Linked DNA regions of Struthio camelus. The protein of the gene in region 1 interacts with the protein of each later gene in a biochemical or structural test. Links are inferred from orthologs where the notes say so. Each region holds a gene or a part of one and is shown on either strand. Other genes may lie near its edges.

Evidence for each region. The genes of interacting proteins can lie anywhere in the genome.
Region 2: the proteins of KBTBD8 (region 1) and TCOF1 form a complex in vitro, tested with the Homo sapiens proteins (2 studies listed by BioGRID, with this or other methods). The link is inferred for Struthio camelus from reciprocal best matches to the Homo sapiens genes KBTBD8 and TCOF1.

The regions. Positions count from the first base shown.
Region 1 is NC_090955.1:13,899,310-13,909,479, reverse strand, and holds the start of KBTBD8 (kelch repeat and BTB domain-containing protein 8), read right to left. Parts: upstream 4,703-10,170; 5' UTR 4,518-4,702; coding exon 4,502-4,517; intron 1,446-4,501; coding exon 1,235-1,445; intron 555-1,234; coding exon 1-554. UniProt on the Homo sapiens protein: Substrate-specific adapter of a BCR (BTB-CUL3-RBX1) E3 ubiquitin ligase complex that acts as a regulator of neural crest specification.
Region 2 is NC_090954.1:7,460,384-7,471,079, reverse strand, and holds the start of TCOF1 (treacle protein), read right to left. Parts: upstream 4,764-10,696; 5' UTR 4,671-4,763; coding exon 4,560-4,670; intron 4,267-4,559; coding exon 4,211-4,266; intron 1,759-4,210; coding exon 1,616-1,758; intron 1-1,615.

The DNA of each region.
Region 1 (10,170 bases):
TAGCCTGTGCAAACATGGGAGGGATTTTCTCTAAAAATGTCTCCTCCAACAGAGGCATACGGATGCATTTGGCAAATATTTCCGGAAGGTGCACTTCTCTCTTATTTTGTTCGTGCTCAAACCACCTTATAATGCTGTCATAAACATGTTCTTCTTTGTCTACATTTAAATCATCACTGTTGAGTATACTTATGAGTTGGTCTTTTCTCAACTGAAGAAACTCTTGCTCTTTGGTGACACTCAGAAACTTTTTACGAATGTAGTCTTGTGATCTTTCTTTGAGCTCCTGATGACCATAGTGATCAGCAAAGATAAACACCCCAATGGAGTTCTGTGGGTCCAAATGACTGATCATATATTTAGCACACTGATCTTGTATGGAAGGGATCTGGAAGATACTAGCTGCAGTGAACAAAGCTTGAACGTTGGCCTCTGTCAGCATTACTCTGGAGGTATATGCATAGTTCAATACTAAATGCATTGACTCTGCTTCAACACCAACTATACGAACTTCTTTCTGGGTACTCTCCGTAAGGCCGCTAGTGAACATAGATCTGCAAAAGAAAAAAAATATTTAGCAGTTTATTTTTAATCACCTTCTAACTACAGGTAAAAGAAATCAAACTATATTGAACAGCTAATCCCAATGTGCCTGTCCTTACACCAGCACAAATACAATTATCGCTGACGTTACGCTGTCCTGCCTGGGCACCTAAATGTAAGAGCAGTTCTAGACTTCCTGAAACAAAAATTGTCAAACTGGAATTCTTTACTTAAGCATCTCACTAACTGTACATGAAAAATTACTCAGCTTATAAGCAAAATTCTTAAGTTCTTAACAAGTCTTTAAGTGCAATGTCCAACATGTTATTTCTTATGTATGTATTCTAGCATGCTAGAATACATAACTTTAAAAGGAAACAAATAGTTGAACTGTGCTTTGAACTGTGCTGTTACTGTATGCAAGAGTCCCTCAATACTGGAGGATTTTTTAAGTACATGAGATTTTGTCCAGAGAAATGCTCCTTTGAAAAAAACAGATACTGATAATTCATTGGCATTAAAAGAATAAAAATATTTACTTACTAAGCCCACTATACGGTCATTGACAGTTACAAGGAATATTGTTAAAGATGTGTGTGTGGTTTTTTCTTTTTTTTCAATATCACATATGGAAAATAATGAGCTATAATTTCACTTTCCACTAGAACACTGGACCATATATTCATTATACCTGAAATAAGGACTGATTGCAGCAAGAACATTCCTATGACAGGAGAATGTTTTCCCATGATCCACTTCCACTACGATATCTGTCAGCTGTCCTTCATCATACATGGTTTTAAGCTGTTGAAGAATACTGCAAGCATGGAAGGGGTCCATTCCGCTGCTGACTGTGTTTGAAGAAGGAATTCCATTCAGTGTTTGTGAAAACTTACTTGGCTCTATAAAGTAAAATAGAAACAGTTTTACTGTATACACACACAGACAGAAAGAGGGCATGCACTAAGAATAATTAGCATAGGCTAATATTCCTGACTTCTTCTGTGCCATCATCCATTAACAGCACGTCTAAAACTTTCAGTGATGACTAAAGACAAAGATATTTCAATTTTTCCCCTTTTCCAATCTATTATGTAAATTAATCTATGAAATTATAACTATTAATTTTAAGAAAGAACATTTGTAATAAATACAAAATATTTACTTATATCACTTAAAAAAAAACAAACCACCAAGTATCACAATGCTTATTGCCTTGTAAAATGGGAAGAATAAAGCACGTAGAAGAATAAAATAAACCCTCAACCTAGATTGCCATTAGGCATGTCTGCATGTATGTACTTAACTTTACACTGAAACAGGAACTGGTTACTAACTTGCACAAATGATTGGAAATAGTACAGTCATAAAGAAACAGCCTTTGTATGTAGAGCAGCAAATCTATTAGATAAAGTCACATAAATTTGTATACATGATTACATGTTTTTCTTCACAAATAAAATACTATTACAATTTAAAATTACTCAGGTGTGAAGGAAGTCACATCGTTGTAAAAACAAGTTAAGTGAAGCATATGCTTCTAAATAACACATAATATGCTTAATGAAGTAAATCCCAAAGCGAAAATTGAGCAATATCTCAAGCGCAAAAATCTATTTCATAATAGTAACAAGATTTTTGCGCAACAACAACAAAGGAGAGCTCAAAAGAAAAACATTAGTTAGTAAGAGTTGCAAATCAGGTAATGCTGCTGACTGCAACCGAGAACACCTCCAACACATTTAGGGCTACACAAAGGGGAAGAAAGGACAGTGAACAGCAAGAATGATGAACAGAAGGTTTAAATCCTATCCCATGGTGGTATTCAGCAGCTACAATTTCTCTTAATCAGAACGCAGACACAACTTTGAGACAGTCCCAATTAAATCAGTATGGATCTGCCAACGGGCACACATTTCTTATAGCAGGCGTGGGGCCAAATACTGTCAATATCTCTTCAAACTACTGTTAGGAAAAGTCTTGAAAACACCCTTCCCCAAATAAAACAGTAAATGCCATACTTTAAGCTCTCCTTTCAGAGATCTTACTTTTCTTTATTACAATAACAGAGCTGCAACATTCAAAACAAGCAAGTCATAAGGGAAGGGGAGAACTGCACTTGCACATTTTCAGAAACAATGTTAATCACTACTGAGTAAATTCCAAGCAAATAATACTTTGCTAGATCAATTCCAACACTTCATAGCAAAGTTCTGACACGTAAGAAAACTCTTATGTATCCAGTACTGCATGAGAGTTTCATTTCCTTTCTACCATTGAGAAGCTTCAGAATAGTTCTTCTCCAACCTTGCCAGTTACTCGTCCAGCACATGCAATCAAGGCAGTTTCCAGCACTGGTGGAAATGGCCAAGAATTGATACTCATTCTCATGTCCCAGTATTTCTGCCCAATCCATGGCATTACCCATCTTACAGTTTTTCATGCTGTGAAACCTTCCCAGTCACTCTCATCACCTTTCTTTTCTCCCTGCCATGGGCATCTTCTTCATCTATTAATATTCCTCACCATTTGCACCCCGAAACTTTTGCTCTGCTCCTCCTAGATATCTCCTCCCCCAAAATACTGCCCACTTTCACCTCTCAAAAACTCCTCCCTTCTTCCTCTACTCTCCACAAATCCAATCTCACAGAAGTCTTTCATCAAAGGGTACCCAGCCCTCCTTCTCTGCTCAGCTCCCCTCAAACGTACACAGTGTGAAGGTATCCCCGAAAGACAACCTTCCTTCCACAAACTCCCCACCACAAGCAAATGACCATGCACACCTCCCTGCACAGGGTACCTCCCTAGACTGCTCTCTGCCTGTAAACAGGCCCTCTTCACCCAGGCTTCCTCCTACTTCCTGTCCCCAACCCTAGACCCCATAGACACCTCCCAAACAACCCTCCTAGGTATAATCTTCCCCATCCAGCACTGACACCACCCACTGCAGGTGCCTCACCCAAGCACCCCTGCCCCACAGGAACACCTAGGATGCCCCCCAGCACCCCTCCCTCACACACACCCCCAGACACTCCCCCAGTGGGGCACTCACCTGCCAAAACCTCTCAGTACAAAACCCCCCAGCATCCTCCCCATGCGCCCCTACAGACACCCCTCAGCACAGAAGTCCCCAGCATCCTCCTTATCACCCCCAACACCCCTCAGCACAGAGGCCCCCAGCACCCTCCCCATGTACCCCCCACAGACGCCCCTCAGCATAGAGGCCCCCCAGCACCCTCCCCACGTACCCCCCACAGACGCCCCTCAGCACAGAGGCCCCCAGCACCCTCCCCAGACGCCCCTCAGCACAGAGGCCCCCAGCACCCTCCCCACATACCCCCCACAGACGCCCCTCAGCACAGAGGCCCCACAGCACCCTCCCCAGACGCCCCTCAGCACAGAGGCCCCCAGCACCCTCCCCACATACCCCCCACAGATGCCCCTCAGCACAGAGGCCCCCAGCACCCTCCCCAGACGCCCCTCAGCACAGAGGCCCCCAGCACCCTCCCCACGTACCCCCCACAGACGCCCCTCAGCACAGAGGCCCCACAGCACCCTCCCCACGTACCCCCCACAGACGCCCCTCAGCACAGAGGCCCCCCAGCACCCTCCCCACGTACCCCCCACAGACGCCCCTCAGCACAGAGGCCCCCCAGCACCCTCCCCACGTACCCCCCACAGACGCCCTTCAGCACAGAGGCCCCACAGCACCCTCCCCACGTACCCCCCACAGACGCCCCTCAGCACAGAGGCCCCCAGAACCCTCCCAATGTACCCCCCACAGACGCCCCTCAGCATAGAGGCCCCCAGCACCCTCCCCATCGCCCCCCACAGGCACCCTTCAGGAGAGACCCTACCTCACAGCCGCCCCTCCCCCACAGGCCGCTCCTCACCCCCCTCAGCACGGCCGCCCCTCCCCCACCCACCCGCTCCGCCTAGGCGGCCCAGGCGCACCGACCTCCTAACGCTGCCATTCTCGGGGCCCCAGCTCCGGCAGCGGGAGAGGGGGGCAACCCGAAAGGAAATGTCACCGGGGCTGCTTCCCCTGCCCCGCTTCCTCCCCGCGGCCCGCTTACTACCGCGGAAGCCAACCCCGCTCCTCGCACTGCCCAGCCTGGGGCGCGCTGACTGGCCGCCGCCCCCGCGGCCTGCCGGGAAATGTAGTGCCGGCGCATGCTGGGGCATGCTGGGAGCTGTAGTCTCGCGGAGGGGCGGGGTGCCTGGGAGTTGTAGTTTCCAAGAGGGGCTGCGGGGGGGGGCAGGCTCTGCCCGTCGCTTAGCAACGGCGGGGTTGGCGCAGGGGAGGGGGAGTCGCTCGGCAGAGCGGCCATTTTGGGGCCCTGCGGCCTCCACCCTCAGCCAGGGGCATGAGAGCGATCCGCGGCGCCTTTCCATACCCCTGCTGTTGGCCACCGCTGCCCTCAGAGTGTTCCCCTCTCCGGGGGCACCCAGCAGAAATGGCCCCTCCATGGACATAAATCCCCCCCCTCTCATTCCTACCTCATCAGTTTTACAGGCCTTGCAGTGCCTCCTGCAGCACAAGCTCCCAGGCCCAGCAAGGGCGGAGGTGTCGCCCCAGCGGCGCCCACCGGGTGGGCTGGGGACAGCGGCCACCACGGCCCACGCTCGAAAACCAGCAGAGAGAAGCGAAACAGAGAAAATACTTGCAGGCCTTCTGACACAGCGAGGGCGCGGTCAGGGCACAGAGGCGTTTGGCTGATAGATCCAGGACTTGCTTGGGCCGAACTGCTCTTTCCTCAAAACATATAACCAGCTACTCAGGCTGCAAGCTCAGCATGCCAGGAGTGGTCATTTTGTTCTGTATTTGTACGCCCCCCCCCAAACGCCCGGCACGCTGCTGCCAGCCAGATTAGCAATGCCAGTGCTACCTACAGAGGCAGCTAAATGCCTCTAGCAACCATTTTGCTGCCAATGACCTTTAATATTACAAAGTACATTTCTCTCTCTGTCCCAGAGATCGAGTGGCTGATAGTTGCCAGCTTTTTTGGTTATCTGCAGTGACGAGCCACTGGTTTCATTCTTGATAACTAAGTCATTACCAGAAATTTGCTGTGGGTTTTTTTTTTCCTTTGTGAAATGCATTTAATGAAAGAAGAATTACCAAATACTAGAAGCATTCAGAAGGCCTGTGGATTTTTCTGTTTTTATTAAAATAGATTATTTTAATAGATTCAGCTTTGCAGCTGAATAGTTGGCTGAGAAGTTTGTTTTGTAAAAATCAATAAAGCAAGTGAATGAAAATTCATTTAAATAAGATCTTAAAGACACATTTCCCTTTAACTCTCAGAAATAACATACCATAGGTACATTACCAACAGTCTAAATAAGAAGAATTTAAAAGCAAGACTAGTACTGCTCCGTGACTGCCTCTTCTGTGGTTTTGCTTTCGCTTGCAAGGAATAGCTTTTCCCTAGTTTAGCAATTATCAGTGGTGTCCAGGCTGCTGTCGATAATAATACTACACAACATGAGAATGATAGAGACTGTGATGAAAGAAGTGTAAAAGAAAATAGAACTTCACGTCTGCAAATCGATTCTGCAGTTTTCCAATTTCCCCATTCAGCACTGGCCTGGGTTGTGAAATTGACCCCAGAAATATAAAACGAAAGGAAAGGAGAATACCTCCACTCTTACCTTTTAGCAAATGACATTGCCTGATGCAATTCATTTCCTTCGGTGTGGACACTTAGGCTGGGCTGGATTAGTGTGCGAAATGCAGGAGTGAAACGGAGAATGTTTTTTAATATAGATACCACACTGAGCCAGTACTTCAGAGTGAAAAGTATTTCTTGCAATAGCTTACCTTTGTAAGGTTTTTGGCAAAGCAATAAATTGCTATACAGGTTCAAATATTCTGTAAGAGGTATTGATAGCAGCTCTTTTTCTTAGTTAGAAGTCTTTCTCAAGTGCCTAATACCTCATCACTCAGTCCTCTTTCTGGAAACCCTCATTAGCACTCCTTAGCACTAAAAAGATTTAGCGCAATATAACACTCCCATGGAAATCCAGGGGCCAGGGTTCTTCATCCAGGTCTGCATATGATTTGCTCGGTCTCTCAGCTGTAAAATGAGAAGCATGTTGCCTGAGCAAATTATGTCACTTAGTATGTAAAAGCTAGATATTATAAATTGCAATTGCATTGCATACAAACATTAGGACCAAAACTTTCAGAAATTACAAGATGCTTAGTGAGTTCCAGCTCCCTTTTTTTCTGCTGCATGCCTTTCTTTCTCTCTTTGTCTGTGTTTTGCCTGGGAATTAATACAGGCCCAGGATTTGAGCACAGAACTAGGAGTCAGAAAACTGGGTTATTGACTTAGTGTTAACACTGATTTACTGCATGCTGTTGATCAAATCATTTGATTTCATGGGTTTTGGCTTCCCAGAAGACAATGAGGAGCTGTGAATTCCTTTGAGATATATTGATGTAAATTCCCTTATCAATATTATAATTTCAGGTAAGTTTTTTTTTTATTATTATTTTTCTGGCCAGCAGTCCATTGCAACTGATTATACCATTTGAGATTTTGCAAGAATCCAAAACCGAGGACATTTCCTGGGTATTGAGGGACTGGAATGCTCTAATGAAGGCTTTAATTTCACACCTATTTCATCATTCCTGCACATACAGCTTGTAAACACACAGCTGAGAACACTTGGTAGAGAAAGTATTGTTTCCCATTTGATATTCAGAGACTCAGAAATAAAGATGAAATGTCGAATGAGAAGGAATTCAGAGTCTTATGAGTGATCACAAACATTGCTCTCTTGAGGAACTCAGAACTGGCACTAATTTTACTGGGATCCTTGCCTTCAGAATGAAGAATGTCTTTGTCAAGAAACCAAGCAAGAAGAGAGGGAAGGAAAAAGTTTTAGGAGAAAATGAGTAAAATATACTTTTCTGCAGATATTTGAGAACTTAGAGGATACCATCAAAAAGTTTTTTTGCAGATACAATTCAGTTATTGAAAATGTTTCCATTCTTTGTTACACATACGGAACACATTATTTAGGAAGTTTTGCTTCATCTACCTTCAATACAGGGACCGGGAACACAGTAGATCTTTGGCAAATTCTTAGCTTGGATCGTCTGATGAGAAACTGGCCAAACTATCCCCTGCTGGACAAGAGATAATGCCCAGAGCACTTCTGGGGATCCTGCTGATGTTTTTTTTCCTGTGAGCAAAATGCAGATAATAAATACCACTGGACCAAAATTTAAAGAAAAGTATGAATAGGGTTTCAGTCAAACAGCTTTAAAATGGAACAGTTTTTAAGCCAAAGGAATATTTCCATCTTTATTTTGTATAAAATGCTTAGTCCAAAATTTCAGGAAGAGGTCATTGCTTCCTCCTTGTACTTTTTTCTTGCTCCTCCCCTGTATGATTTTTTTTCACTGAAAAATGGAGGGCATAGAGAGAGGAAGAATCAATCTCTACTCCGCCATCTTCCCACACTCCTCCACCCACATACCACATAGTCAAAAAAAAAAAAGAAAAAAAGAAAAAAAAAGAAAAAAAAGAAAAAAGATGTGGAGAAGCTTCAAAGGGCTTTTTAGGTTTTCATGGCAACATTTTGAACCGTTACTTTTTTCATGAAACTATCCAATTAAAAAAATAGCCAATTTCCAGCAAAATTATTTAACTCTAAAATTTAAATATAATACTGGTAAAATGAATAATATTATTTGCTATCTCCAAAGATGTATCAATTAGTAACGTTGACAATTGTTCTGTTATTTGTATGTGTTAAATCAAGTCATACTGTGCATCTGTGAGAAGTAATACAATTGATACTACCGCACTCTGAAAAACCCTCATATTTTAATTGGAAAAATTTTCATATTCACTGTGGAACGATATAACCTTGGAAAACAATCTTTTACCAGTTTGTCTTTAATGCATAAAACTGCTCATTTTCTGCAATTCCGTCACCAAGGGGCACATTAATTTAGTTGCACAATTATTTAATAAATCGATACATTGATTGAAGTAGAGTTTTTTATTTAGTGGTTCCAAGAAATAACACATTTCTTATAGAATCTTTAAAAAGACACTTCTTGTTGCAGTTTAAGTAGGGGGAATTGCAGATCATTAGAGGAAGTTGCCCTTCAAAGCCAATTGATCTTAGCACACTGAGCACAGTGGGCGCTACATCAGAGGAGAGCAAGGACTGGCAGGGGGCAATTAATGGGGCAGATATTGGAGTGCCTTTTCTGATTACCCCATACTGTACAGTGGATTTGGCCTTGCTGAGACAGGCTGGTAGAAACAAGAACCCTGATGAGATATGGCTCTGCTAATGTCAAGAAGTGCCACTTCCTAGCAGCGGGAGCAACTTTATTGAAACCATCTGTTGTTTTGGAACACATGCGCACATGCACGCACACACATGCACACTTCCTCCTCCCAAAGTGTTTAACCTTTCTTTTAAGGCTGGCTGAAATCACACAGCTAATCCCTCCTTAATCTCAGAATGACAGGCCCTACTGTTTTCAGCAAGTCCCAGCAGCTACTGAAAATCAGAGTGACTGGTGGTGTTTAGGTGAAGTGACAGTGATATATTCTGGAGCAGTCACTTTAGAACAAAACACCCATTCATCCACTGTCACCACAAAGTTTTGCAAGACCAGTCTGCAATTACTAGCAGCCTGGCAGAGCAGGCTTGGGTACTCATGTATAGATGGGAAATCTATACTCCGATGGATCTGTTCTACCCAGGGGACAGAAGGAGATTCAGTGAGCCTGGTCCCACTGAAATCTCGTTTTTCAGCAGATATAACCCACCAGTGATCTCAAAGGAAATAGCCCTTTTTGGGGTACAGTGGACTCAGAATCTCATCCCTGTTCCAATTTGTTGAGTATTTAATCGCATTTTTATGCCACTCTCTCCTTAACGTGCCAGGACCCTTATGCTTCTCATGGCTGTGTTATAGAGAGGCTTGCATCAAAGCCCCAGCTGACAAAGTGTGGCAGTACCAGAGCATTCACTGAGACTGAATTAACTCTAGCATCCTTGCAGATAAAGTATTTCTGTCAGGATACACTGAAAAGCACATCTATGCATGTTTCATTTCTTATTCCTAAAAGATGTGATGAAAAGCATCAATTGAAAGTGACCAGCTATTTGGAACAAACACTGCACCTCAAACCTGGGCACTTTGAAAACCCTCTTGCCAGCGGACATGACCTGTATCACCCAGGCTTCTCAGCCACTCCTAAAACAAACCACACAGAAAGGAGAAATATGCAGGAAGAAGAATAAATAAAAACAAAAAACAAAACAAAAAACAAAAGGAAGAAGAAGCATCACTGTTCTTGCCTTAGGTATTAACAGAACCAAATTTCAGCCAGTAATTTTATCTCATCTCCAATCCTTTCTGGCCACCCCCTCTCTGCTTGTAGGAGGCCCAGGTCCAAGAGGCTATTGCAATGGTGGAAGAAGTGACGACAGAGAGGAGGGATAACTACTTCTTGTCCCTTTTCTCCTCCATTCATTTTTGTGCCTGCCTTTGCTAAAGCCCTCCAGCTTGCATGGAAAGAACCACATGGACCTTCAGGGAAATAGGGCACTGATGGCCTGGCCAACTCGATGACAATCAAGAGC
Region 2 (10,696 bases), on another chromosome or scaffold:
GCCAAGAGTTACATGTTTCCAAGGGCTGGTCTGCCGCAGATGAGACTCAGCCAAAACATTTCAGATTCACAGGTTTTTAAGTCACATTATTTAAGCTAATGCCTCACACATTAGCTAGGGAATCCATTCCCACCTCAGAGGGAATTGGTTTTCCAGATCAACTAGAAAGTCTTCCTTCCCTCACCTGTGAGGGAAAACTTCCTTTGCTGACCTAACAGATGCCACAACTGATCAGATGATGCTCCCCACTGGGCACCGTTAGGCTCCCAAGGCTTTATCCAAGCTAGGACGCTCATCTCTTCTCCCCCCGCCCCGATGAGCCATAACTATCAATTCTACCACATCACAAAGACGCCATTTCACACATTCAACAAATTCAGGGAAAATGGCTCCTTGCTGAGCTTCAATTCAGCAAGCTTAGCTTGAGGTGAAGAACAATGGACGCTCGGCTGGACTTTTGAGAGTGGTAGCTTCAGGTGCAGTCACCACGCTAGTGTGAGACACTGCCAAACCTGCTGTCCTAACCTACCAGTGATGGATGCTGGGAACAGGACAGACCCTAAGGGGGAGGACTGTACCTATGCAAGTTAGCTGGAAACCTGGTAAGTGCTGAATCCAGGCAGTGACGTAACTTTCAGGGCTGGAAGGGGTGATAGCAACAGTGGTGACAGCACTTGCTTCAGAGCTGATCCATACCCAACAGGATACAGGTCTACTCAAACTTGAGTAGCGTGCGTCCCTGGTCTCAGCCTCCCCAGAGACATTAACTTACACTACTCTCGGGGTGGGCTTCTGCCAGTGCCAGACTCCGATACGGGTCAATGGGGACACAAACACGTACAGCTACAGGGCAGTGACTGGGGCAGCTACATTCATATCAGAAGGGGACACTTCTCCAAGGAGCTATGCTCGTGCACACCAATCAAGCAGACTCTGTGAGAGGAAGAAAGGAAAAATCTATAGGAGAGGAAGAGCAAGAGAGCAGGAGTGAAGACAAAGAGATATGCTTTCTCCCTATATCTTTGACTTACTTTCCACAGGAGCAAACTAAACCTAGCTCCTAACACCAGGATCCAATTCCACAGGCTTTTGCTAGCTTTAGCAGGCATCTCTGCTCCTCAGAAACTCTACAGAGACAGAGGTGCTCAATTAGTTGTCCCATTTTCATAAACGTGTCCAAGTATCTGAAGGGAGGATGTCAAGAGGATGAGGCCAGCCTCTTCTCCGTGGTGCCCAGCAACAGGACAAGAGGCAACGGGCAGAAACTGAACCACAGGAAGTTCCATCTGAACCTGAGAAAAAAACTTCTTCCCTGTGAGGGTGACAGAGCATTGGAACAGGTTGCCCAGAGAGGTAGTGGAGTCTCCTTCCCTGGAGATATTCAAAACCCGCCTGGATGTGATCCTGGTCAATATGCTCTAGGTGACCCTGCTTGAGCAGGGAGGTTGGACTAGATGATCTCCAGAGGTCCCTCCCAACCTAAACGATTCTGTGATTTTCCTAGAAGCATCAGGAAATAGCCATCACTTTACAAGCATTTTCTCTGGCCAGTAAAACTGGGCTGCTCTTACACAGTCCTACTCAGTAAAAACATGGGAAGATAAAAGGCTCCTACCCTTGACAGCTTTTGTCTTCTCTTTCTCATCCTCTTCTTTCTCTGAGCTCTCAGAGCTGCTCACAGGATCAGGAACTCTGATCTTTTCTGGGATGACTGCCTCCACATCACTCACCTTCCTTCTCCTGGAATTGGAGGGAGTTCTGAGGAAACAGATTTGATAAGAGTAGAGAGGAGGCGTCAAAAAGGGGAACAGCTCCTGAAAAAAGAACAAATCTGAACACTCATTAATTCAGCCACTCTCAGGTCTGACACAAGCCTCAGGACAAGCACTGTCATTCCTCCTCCTCGACTCCTGAGGGGAGGGGAGAGCTCCATAGGTAACCTGCAAGATACAGCTCTGTCCTCCTCAGGCAACTCCTAAGAGCAATATATCCTTTCAACACTTGGAGGAGTTACTGGATACAAATTTTACCTAGGACAAGGAAAGAAAGCATCTTTCTCACATTAGCAGAGAAGCAAAAACATATTTAGCCAGGCTGACGCTCACCACAGCAAAGGCAACCTGTAGAACAAATTCAGTCTCCACGAGACAGCTATAGCCAGAAAGAGCAATTAACCGATGCTACCCCAGGGTTAGAGCAGAGAACCCCAGACAGGTTCTGGTACTCTGTGAGGCCACGGCAACTGAAAGTAAAGGCTTCACAAGCCATTTGTATTTGGACACTTCAGCCAAAAGGAGATAAAAGTCAGGGTGCAGAGGAGGAGGGTTTCACTGGCATAGCTGTATCAGCAACTCTTTTGCAGGCAGGCCTGCAACTATTCCAATAATAATTTCAACAAAACATAGGGCAAGCCATGCAAGCAGCTACTATATTCCAACGCCTTCCTAATTCGGTGGCAGCTGATGATATAGAGACTATTGTGGGAATTCACACTGCATTTGACCAGGGCTCAGGGATGCACTGCACGAGAGTACAGCATCGCCTGCCCTCAAGCACTGGCCCTACAGCAGCCCAGAGCAATTAACTGCAGCATTACTCTGTCTAACTGCTCCCACTGCTTCTGGGGCTGAGCCAGTCCAGCTTCGCCACCTCACCCAAGCATCAGGCAGCTCTACCTGTCTTTCCAGTGAACTCCAGGACTAAACATAGCCCATTCTTACATAGGAGAAGGAGGCCATTCTTAAATAACCGCAAATCTCAACTGTTAAATTCACTCTGAAAGAGTTTAAGGAGAGCATCAAGGATGACCTCAGGCAGACAGAGAAGAGCTGCAGCACAGAATCTGGGGAAAGGCATTTTGAGGCCAAAAGCCTGTGAAGTGAAACAAGACGTGAGAATCACAGCTCACTCGCACGAGACCTCTTCAGCTAAGCAGGGCACCTCCTGGATAAACCAAACAACTGGTCAATACGTCCCCCATTTTGACTCCAGCCCAGACATAACAACAAGGGGAGACAAGGAATAAGAGGCAGACCTGTCAGGAAGAACTACAACATAAGGGCGACACCAGAGAAAGAGGAGTTAAACGTGATGCGAGTTCCTGTTGCCCTCCACGGTTTAAAAGTAAAAGTGTCTGGAAGGGTGAGCAGCAGAGCCCAGGATATCTGGCACACAGAACAGTCAGCATCAATACCCAAGACAGCAACACATTGTTATGGGGAAGAACCGCAAACCCAATTCCACACTCTTATATCTCCAGCTGGTCCCACAGCATCTCTCCTGCTCAGTTAAGAAAACCGTGGAGACGCAAGAGCAGGGTGCCCGCAGCCCAAGGCATTTTAGCAAAAAGTACTTCTGGAGCAAACACCCACCCTCCAAGGCTGCTAGCACAGCCAGACTGAAGAGTATCTTCACTCAGGTGCTCTGCAGCGCTGGCCAGACTCCACAGGCACAGAAAAACAGCTACACTGATCCCCCGTTAACCTGGCTCTGTGGCTTCAACCATGCCCATCTCTGCAGCAATGCACTTCTGCATCAAAATAAAGCAAGCAGCACAGAGAACGGGTGCAAATATCATCCCATGCTGCAGATGTGAAAGCCTCAGGCTGCAGACATTCATGGTGGGGGGTATTCAGCTGAATAACTAAGTGTGAAGCCATCGGGACTAAACACGTAAGCACGTGCAAAGGCAGGCTGAAACCTAAAGTGCCTTCCTTTAAATCATAAATTATGTGACCTATGCCAAGATGTAACTTCCCTGTAACAGCTTTGACAGTTCTGATTCAGCAGCCTCTGCTCATAGGCAGTTCACGTGTTCAGCCCACACTGGCCAGCGTCCACATCCCTGAAAAGCACATGGCTTTAAAAAAGAAAGTGAAATGAAACCGAAAAAGAGACTTTTTGCCAGTAGAGCATGGTTCTAACCCCTGTAATACTCCAGTATCACCCCCAACAGGCAAGAACAGCATCAGTTTCTCAAAAACAGAGCAACAACTCATCCCCAAGCTGAAGAAATTTTAACTTAATTTTTAACATCTCAAAGAAATCTATCTGAAAGCAGGGCCTAGCAGGAAAGTTCCCGGAGCATGCTTACTGTGGGAAACACCCTGACAAAAGGAAGTTCCAACAAATAGAGGCCACAAGCGTAACACGGCTTGGTTGCTAACGCGGTCTGGAATGCGTTCCTCAGCAATCTCCTCCTCAGACTTACTTTTGCCAGTGGGTAAAGATCTCCTCCAGAGAGGTCGACAGGGAAGGAAGCAGTTTCTGTGGAAGCAGAGAGAGCGCAGCTCAGTCGGCAGCCGCCGGGGAACGCGGCGAGCGGGGAGGGCAGAGGGGACACCTCCTCCCCGCGTGCAGGCGCTCCCCCAGCGAGCCCTCCTCTCCCGGAGGCCTACCCCGCCGCGGGCCGCCGCCTCCTCCCCTCGCTGCCGCGCACATACGGCCCCAGAAGCACATATATAACGGCACATATAGGGCACGTGTACGTAAGGCCGCCGCCGCCGCGGCCTGCCCTGCCCTGCCCAGGCCCCGCCGCCAGGCCCCGCCGCCGCCGTTACCTGGCCCAGCTGCGCCTGCAGCTCGCGGGCCGCCCGGGCGTAGCCGGCGCGCAGCAGGTGCTGGTGGATGAGGGCCAGCAGCTCCCGCTGCCCGCGGCCGCCCGCCGCCATAGCGCGCCCGGCCCGCTCAGGGCGAGCCCCCGGGGCGCTGCCGGGCCGGCCACATGCCCGCGCGACCCCCGCTGACCCGCCTGCGTCACTTCCTCTTCCGCCGCGCCCGCGGCGCTTCTGGGAAATGTAGTGCGGTGCCGCGGCTGGGTACGGACCGGTGAGCCGAACCGGCAACCGGGCCGCGCCCCGAACCGGGCCCTAGGAGCCGACCCGGGCTGGGAGGGGCCAAACTCGGCCCGGAACTGGTCCTGGAGAGCCGAGCTGGACCCCGAACCGGGCCGGGGGAACGGAACCGCGCCCTGAACCGGGCCCTAGGAGCCGAACTCGCTCCAGAAGTGGTCCTGGGGAGCTGAACCAGGCCCCAAACCGGCCCGAGGGAACGGAACTGGGCCCTCGGAGCCGAACCCGTTCCCAAACTGGGCCGAGGGAATGGAACCGGGCCCTCGGAGCCAAACCAGGCCCCAAACTGGGCCGAGAGAGCGGAACCGGGCCCTCGGAGCCAAACCAGGCCCCAAACCGGGCTGAGAGAGTGGAACCAGGCCCCGAACCGGGCCCTCAGAGGCGAACTCGGCCCTGAACTGGTCCTGGGGAGCCAAACTAGGCCCCGAACCGGGCCCTAGGAGCCGGACTGGGCTGGGAGGGGCCAGACTCGGCCCAGAACTGGTCCTGGGAAGCCGAACAGGGCCCCGAGCCCTAGGCCAGGGGAACTGAGCTAAGGACCGAACTGGGCCGGGGGCTCTGAATTGGATAATAAGCCAAGCTGGGGGAGCCGAGCCCAGCTGGAACATGAACTGGGCCAAGGGAGCCGAATCAGGAGCTGAGCCCACAGGACAGCCAGGCCGGGAGCTGAACCGGGCCGGGCTGGGCCAGGGAGCCGCACCAGGAGCTGCAGTGGGCTGGCCCAAGCGCTGAGTGGAACCAGGAACCAAACCAAACTGGGCTGGGGCAGCCGAGTTGGGAACCGCACCGGGCCGAGAGCCAAACCAGGGCAGGGGAGCTGAACTGGGACATGAAATGCGAGCGGTACCCAGACCTGAACTGGACCAGCCTAAGGGAACTGAACCAGTACAGAGAAGCTCCACCTGGACAAACCTGGAACTGAATCAGGCTAGGGAAAATGCTCCCAGCAACCAAACTGAACTGGGCAGGGAGAGCTGCACCCAGGAATCGAACCAGCCAGGGCAGGGGAGCCAAACTGGGACCTGAACCGGGTTGGGGGAAGAGAACCTAGAACCAAACTGGGCTGGATGGAGGTGCCCAGGAACCGAATCGGGAACCAAATAACGCCAAAGAAACTGTACCCAAGAGCCAGACCCAGCTGTGTCATGTGGAGGAGCCGTGCCTGGGAACCAAACCCAGAATCGAACTGGGCCAGGGAAGCTGCACCTTGGGACCAGCCAGAACTGAACCAGGCCAGGTGGAGAACACAGCCTTGTCTGGGAGACGGAGCAGGCGCTGCTGCTTCAAACACAGGCAAGTGGTGTCTGTGGAAGTCCTGACACCTTCATGAGAGCAATCCGCCCTCTTCTAAGCAGTGCCCAGAAGTTATTTCCAAGAGGAGTGGACAGAGCCTTAATTTTAAGCATTCTCCTGCAGTCTTGCGAACCTGAGGTGCACAGTGGTGTAGCTCAGACTCGTGAAAATCTTGAAATTGGCTTAGTGCTCATGAGATATTTGCAGTACAGATTGACACTTTGAATTTGCCGCTTGGCTCTTTTGTAGGATGTGTAGTGGGGTGCATTTTGGACCTTTTTCATGAAGCAAGGAATGCTGAAAGTGCTGTTCTGGGGAAGGAGAAAAGGGAGAAAAGAAGGGCTAGGACTGTTGCATCGTTGTACAGCTCTGCAGGAGATGAAGAGAAGCCACCAAATACTGCGGGACACTCACACATGCATACCGCTGTTGGCTGTGCTCATTGCCAGGGATTAGCACCCCTCCAAGGCTGGCAGAGTGAAGTTTCTGCATGAAGTGGGTTAACACTTAGCTGAAATTGATGGTGGTTTTAGATAACACGGCAGCTGCGAAATGTGGTGTCCCAGAAGTGGACTTGTGACCCATTCCACTACCCCAAATACGGATCGGCCGCCTCCAACGAAGAGGACAGGCAGATGGTGGAAGGGATGTGGACAGGGCGGTGATTATTACAGCACCATCCACTAAATCTTTCTGGGCCCTGAGGGCAGAGGCCTTGCTCCCGGAGGACTCAGGGGCTGAAGACTCAGGACTGATTTAATGTTGGATGGACGTTAAGCTGTTCTGAGGAGCTGCCGGGGCATTTTTGGACTAAAACAGGCAAACGACAAGAAGAGATGAGACGGCTCCATGGCACAAAGAACTGTTGGGCAGAGGCCGCGCAGCAGAGGGGCTGCTCTGTTACCACTCTCCCCCTCCCCATGCTGATACTTTCCAGGAAAAATCTGGCTCCCTTCACTTTGGTAGAGGTTTATTTTTGGAAGGTTTAATAATGTCCATGGTGTGTCTGTCACTCACTCAAAATACAGAGCCTTTATTTGTATTTATAGGCAAGATTAAATATAAAACTGGCTGTGCTCCAGCTGGCTCCTGCACCAAACTTCTTTGACACGAGCATCATCCACAGCAGTAAAGCCACTGGCCAGGTGGCAGTTTTACAGCTCCTGTAAATGAAAGACAGACCTGGCTCGTCATTTTTAAGGGTGACCTCCCCCTACACAAATGGTTATTGATGCTCAGAGTAAATGTGGATGCGGCATCTCTGTGAGAGCTACAGGCCTCTGAACCAAGACGGTGTTCCAGCAAGACTGCCTTTGCTTTGAAATGTCCCTTGCAAAGTGGTACAAGGCCCTATCAGCTCGAGGCCTGGTGTGGAGACCTGATTCTCTTAACCGGAGTGGAAGACGCAGGTAAGAAAAGCACCTCAGGACAGCAAAGCACTGAAGTGTGTTTCCTGGGGAGGTTTCCAGGCGAATGAACTGAGCAGGACAGGCCAGGACTGAGCCCGTAGAGCTGACAGCCTGGGGCAGTGGCTTGGAGAGGATGATGTCGGGGGCCTCTGAGAAGGAGCTTGGGATGGGATTCAGCCCCTGTGATTTACAAAGGACGCTGCCTGCTGCAGGTATACTGTGGAACAGATTTTGACCTACTTTGACATGGTGCCATCTGGAATGGCTTTATACTTCCAGGAACCTTTTTGTTTGTTTTGTTTATTTAAAATTTTTAAAAAAGTCCCCAAACTAAACCAACCCTTGTCTGCTGCCACCCCTGCGCGCTGCGGCGCATCTGCCTGTAGAGTCTCAGGGAGTAAATGCTGATGGCTCACTGATGTGGGGCGCTATGGAAAGACCCATCACCTCATGACAGAGGGATGACAAGGGAGGCCCAGCAAGGGTCTGCAGGGCGTTTTGTCAGGGCTCAGGGCCTGTTTTGGAGGTAAGTTGAAGGTGTTCAGCAGGGCCAGATTTTCCAGAGCCCTCTGTTTTCTCTTCGCACCAAAGGAATGATGCTTTTCAGCATGCTCGGGGGAGTTTGTTGCGTAAGTTTCTCCTCGTGTCAGACTTCCCAGAGTCCAACAAGACTCTGTTGAGTGAATTTTGAGGCTTCTCCTCTCCTGAGGTTCAGGACTCACGTATGCTAGCGAGCATGAAAGATAAGGCTTTGAGCAATTTGGGTAGCACATGGATGGGAAGAAGACAGAGTTGAACATAAACGGGGAGCAAACGCGTTCAGGAGGGATTGCTCTCTAGGAAGGCAGACAGAGTACGTTAAAGCCCTGAGTGCCCATGCACAAATGGCTTTAAAAATGCCTCCATTTTTTTCCAAGTGGCTCTTTACAGGTCTGCTGCAGTTCAGGGTCACTTGAGTCCAAAGCTTCATACCCTCAAACCATGAACGGCCCTTAGCAAGCCGCAGATCAGGGCCTGGTAGTAACACAACCCACTTGAATGAATGAATCCGAAAAAAAATATATGCTGCACCACAATTACAGGTAGAGAAGGTATTTCAGGCGTTTAGTAAACATGGCAAATAATAAATAGAGCTATTCAGTCAGCAAACAGCTGCATGATTATAAATAGGAAAATCTACCCCAGCCCAAAGCCAGCTGAGACCCAACAACGTACAGTTATTAAGGAGTGATTTTTCTGTGCGTTTTTTGGAAGGAGGTTGAAAATATTTTGCCCACTCTTTATTTTAGGAAGGTGAAATGTCCCTGGTGGATTTCAAAAGCTAACCTCTCGGGTATGCATTTTCCATGCCAAGACACTGAGTCACAAAGAGATTGCAGGAAGCTGTTTCAAATCCAGACAGGGGATAAAATGGCTGTAATTTAGTAGCCAGCTCAGCTCAGTCCGCTAATAAGCGCACCGCCCTGTCCATGCCCTCAGCCTTACAAGCTGAGAGCTTTGCTTGCTGCCACTTTCACATGTTATTTGGTTATTGCTTGGGGTTGAACTTGTCCACACCTATTCCATTCTGAAAGACTGCCTGTGTCCAGGCCAAACCAGAGTTCAGAGAGCACATTAGCTGGCTGGAAAATGCTGTCATTCCTCCTTTGTGCCGTATGGAAGCTGACAGTCTCTAGGCATGCCTGTTGGACCCTTGGGCTTGCAGGGACATCTTTCTGCTCTCCCTTGTTTAAGCTGCAATCATCAGTTGCGTGTGTTTGTCCATGTATAAGTCTCTGGCCTTAGTGCGTTGTAGCAGGGAGGGGCACGTCATCATTGTGTGAACTGGTCAGACCTACTTGTTTGGTGACCCTAAGTGAGGTGCAGTTTGACAATATGGGGTTGGTTCTGTCTTTTGGAGGTTGCACAATTACGAACTGGGCGTCATGATTTTATCCTTGGAGATGCTGGGGTGATCCTTAGTGATCTTTAGACATGCTGGGTATGCAGTGCGTATGGGGTCTTGATACCGAGGGATCCCAGGCTGCGTGCCTGAAGGAGTTTCTGACTCCAGCTGCTTGTGGTTGCACCACAGTGGTGGAGCAGAGACAACAGAAAAGGTACTTTGCCGCCTTCTCAGCTGGTGCAGCTCCTCACCTGATCCGTTTCATCGCTGCTGATTTCAGCCAAAATATGAGCTGCGGACAAGCCGCTCGTCCTGCCCCTGCTCTGGGGCAGGATCCTCCAGCCAGGAAGTGGAATGGGTGGCCTGGGACAGGGACCTTGTTCCATGCTGCAGGTACTCTGGTGAGTCTCGTGATCAGAGCCCTGGCCTGGTTTATGAATCTGACCTGTATGTTACCTCAAGGCAAGATCCAGCAGGGTTATCCTGCTGACACGTTGGGATTTTGTCCTGTTAGGGATTAACGACCTTTCTCGTTGCTCCAAGGCTGGGTCAATCCCATTGCCAGCTGCAGAGCTGCCTGGGTCAGCCGAGATATGCTCCGTCACTGCTGCCCCGTATCCGCATAGCGGGGCCAGAGGGGAGCTGTTGCCCCTCCCGCTGCGAATCGTTCCCAGAGCTTCCCCTCCTCCCAGCTGCCTGAGGAACAGGCTTCACGTGTTATGTCTGTTCACTATTTGAAGTGAGCGCTCTGCGGAGTCAGAAATCTTGGTCCCTGCAGCCATGAAGTCGGCTGAAAGTATAGGCTGTGCTTAGGAGGAGAATTTGCATGGCCCAGTTCAGAAAGGAAGCTGAGCTGAATTCCCCCACTCTGACTGCCCCTGTCAGGAGGGCTTTGATCCATCTCTCCTGGACTGTGCCCTGGAGTGCCATGTGGGCTGGCTCAGAGGAGAGGGTCCCATGCAGCAAGTCGTCACCCCGTCTGGGCACAGATTGGCCTGAGGTGACCAATCAACCCTGACCGTGCTCAGCTGGTCAGAGCTGGGAAGCTCCCTGCAAGGAGGCCCAGAGAGCAAAACGGTTCCCAAATTTCCACCGGCTCCTGGGTCCTTGAGATGAAATGAAGTGTGTTGCTGACAAAGGAAAGAGTTGTTTTACATAGCCTCTCTAGGGTGGCTGATCCATGGGACCAGCTGCCTTGGCCATTCTGGTGTCTCGGTCTTGTGGATGCTCTCCGACGGGGTAGCACAGGAGGTGGGGAT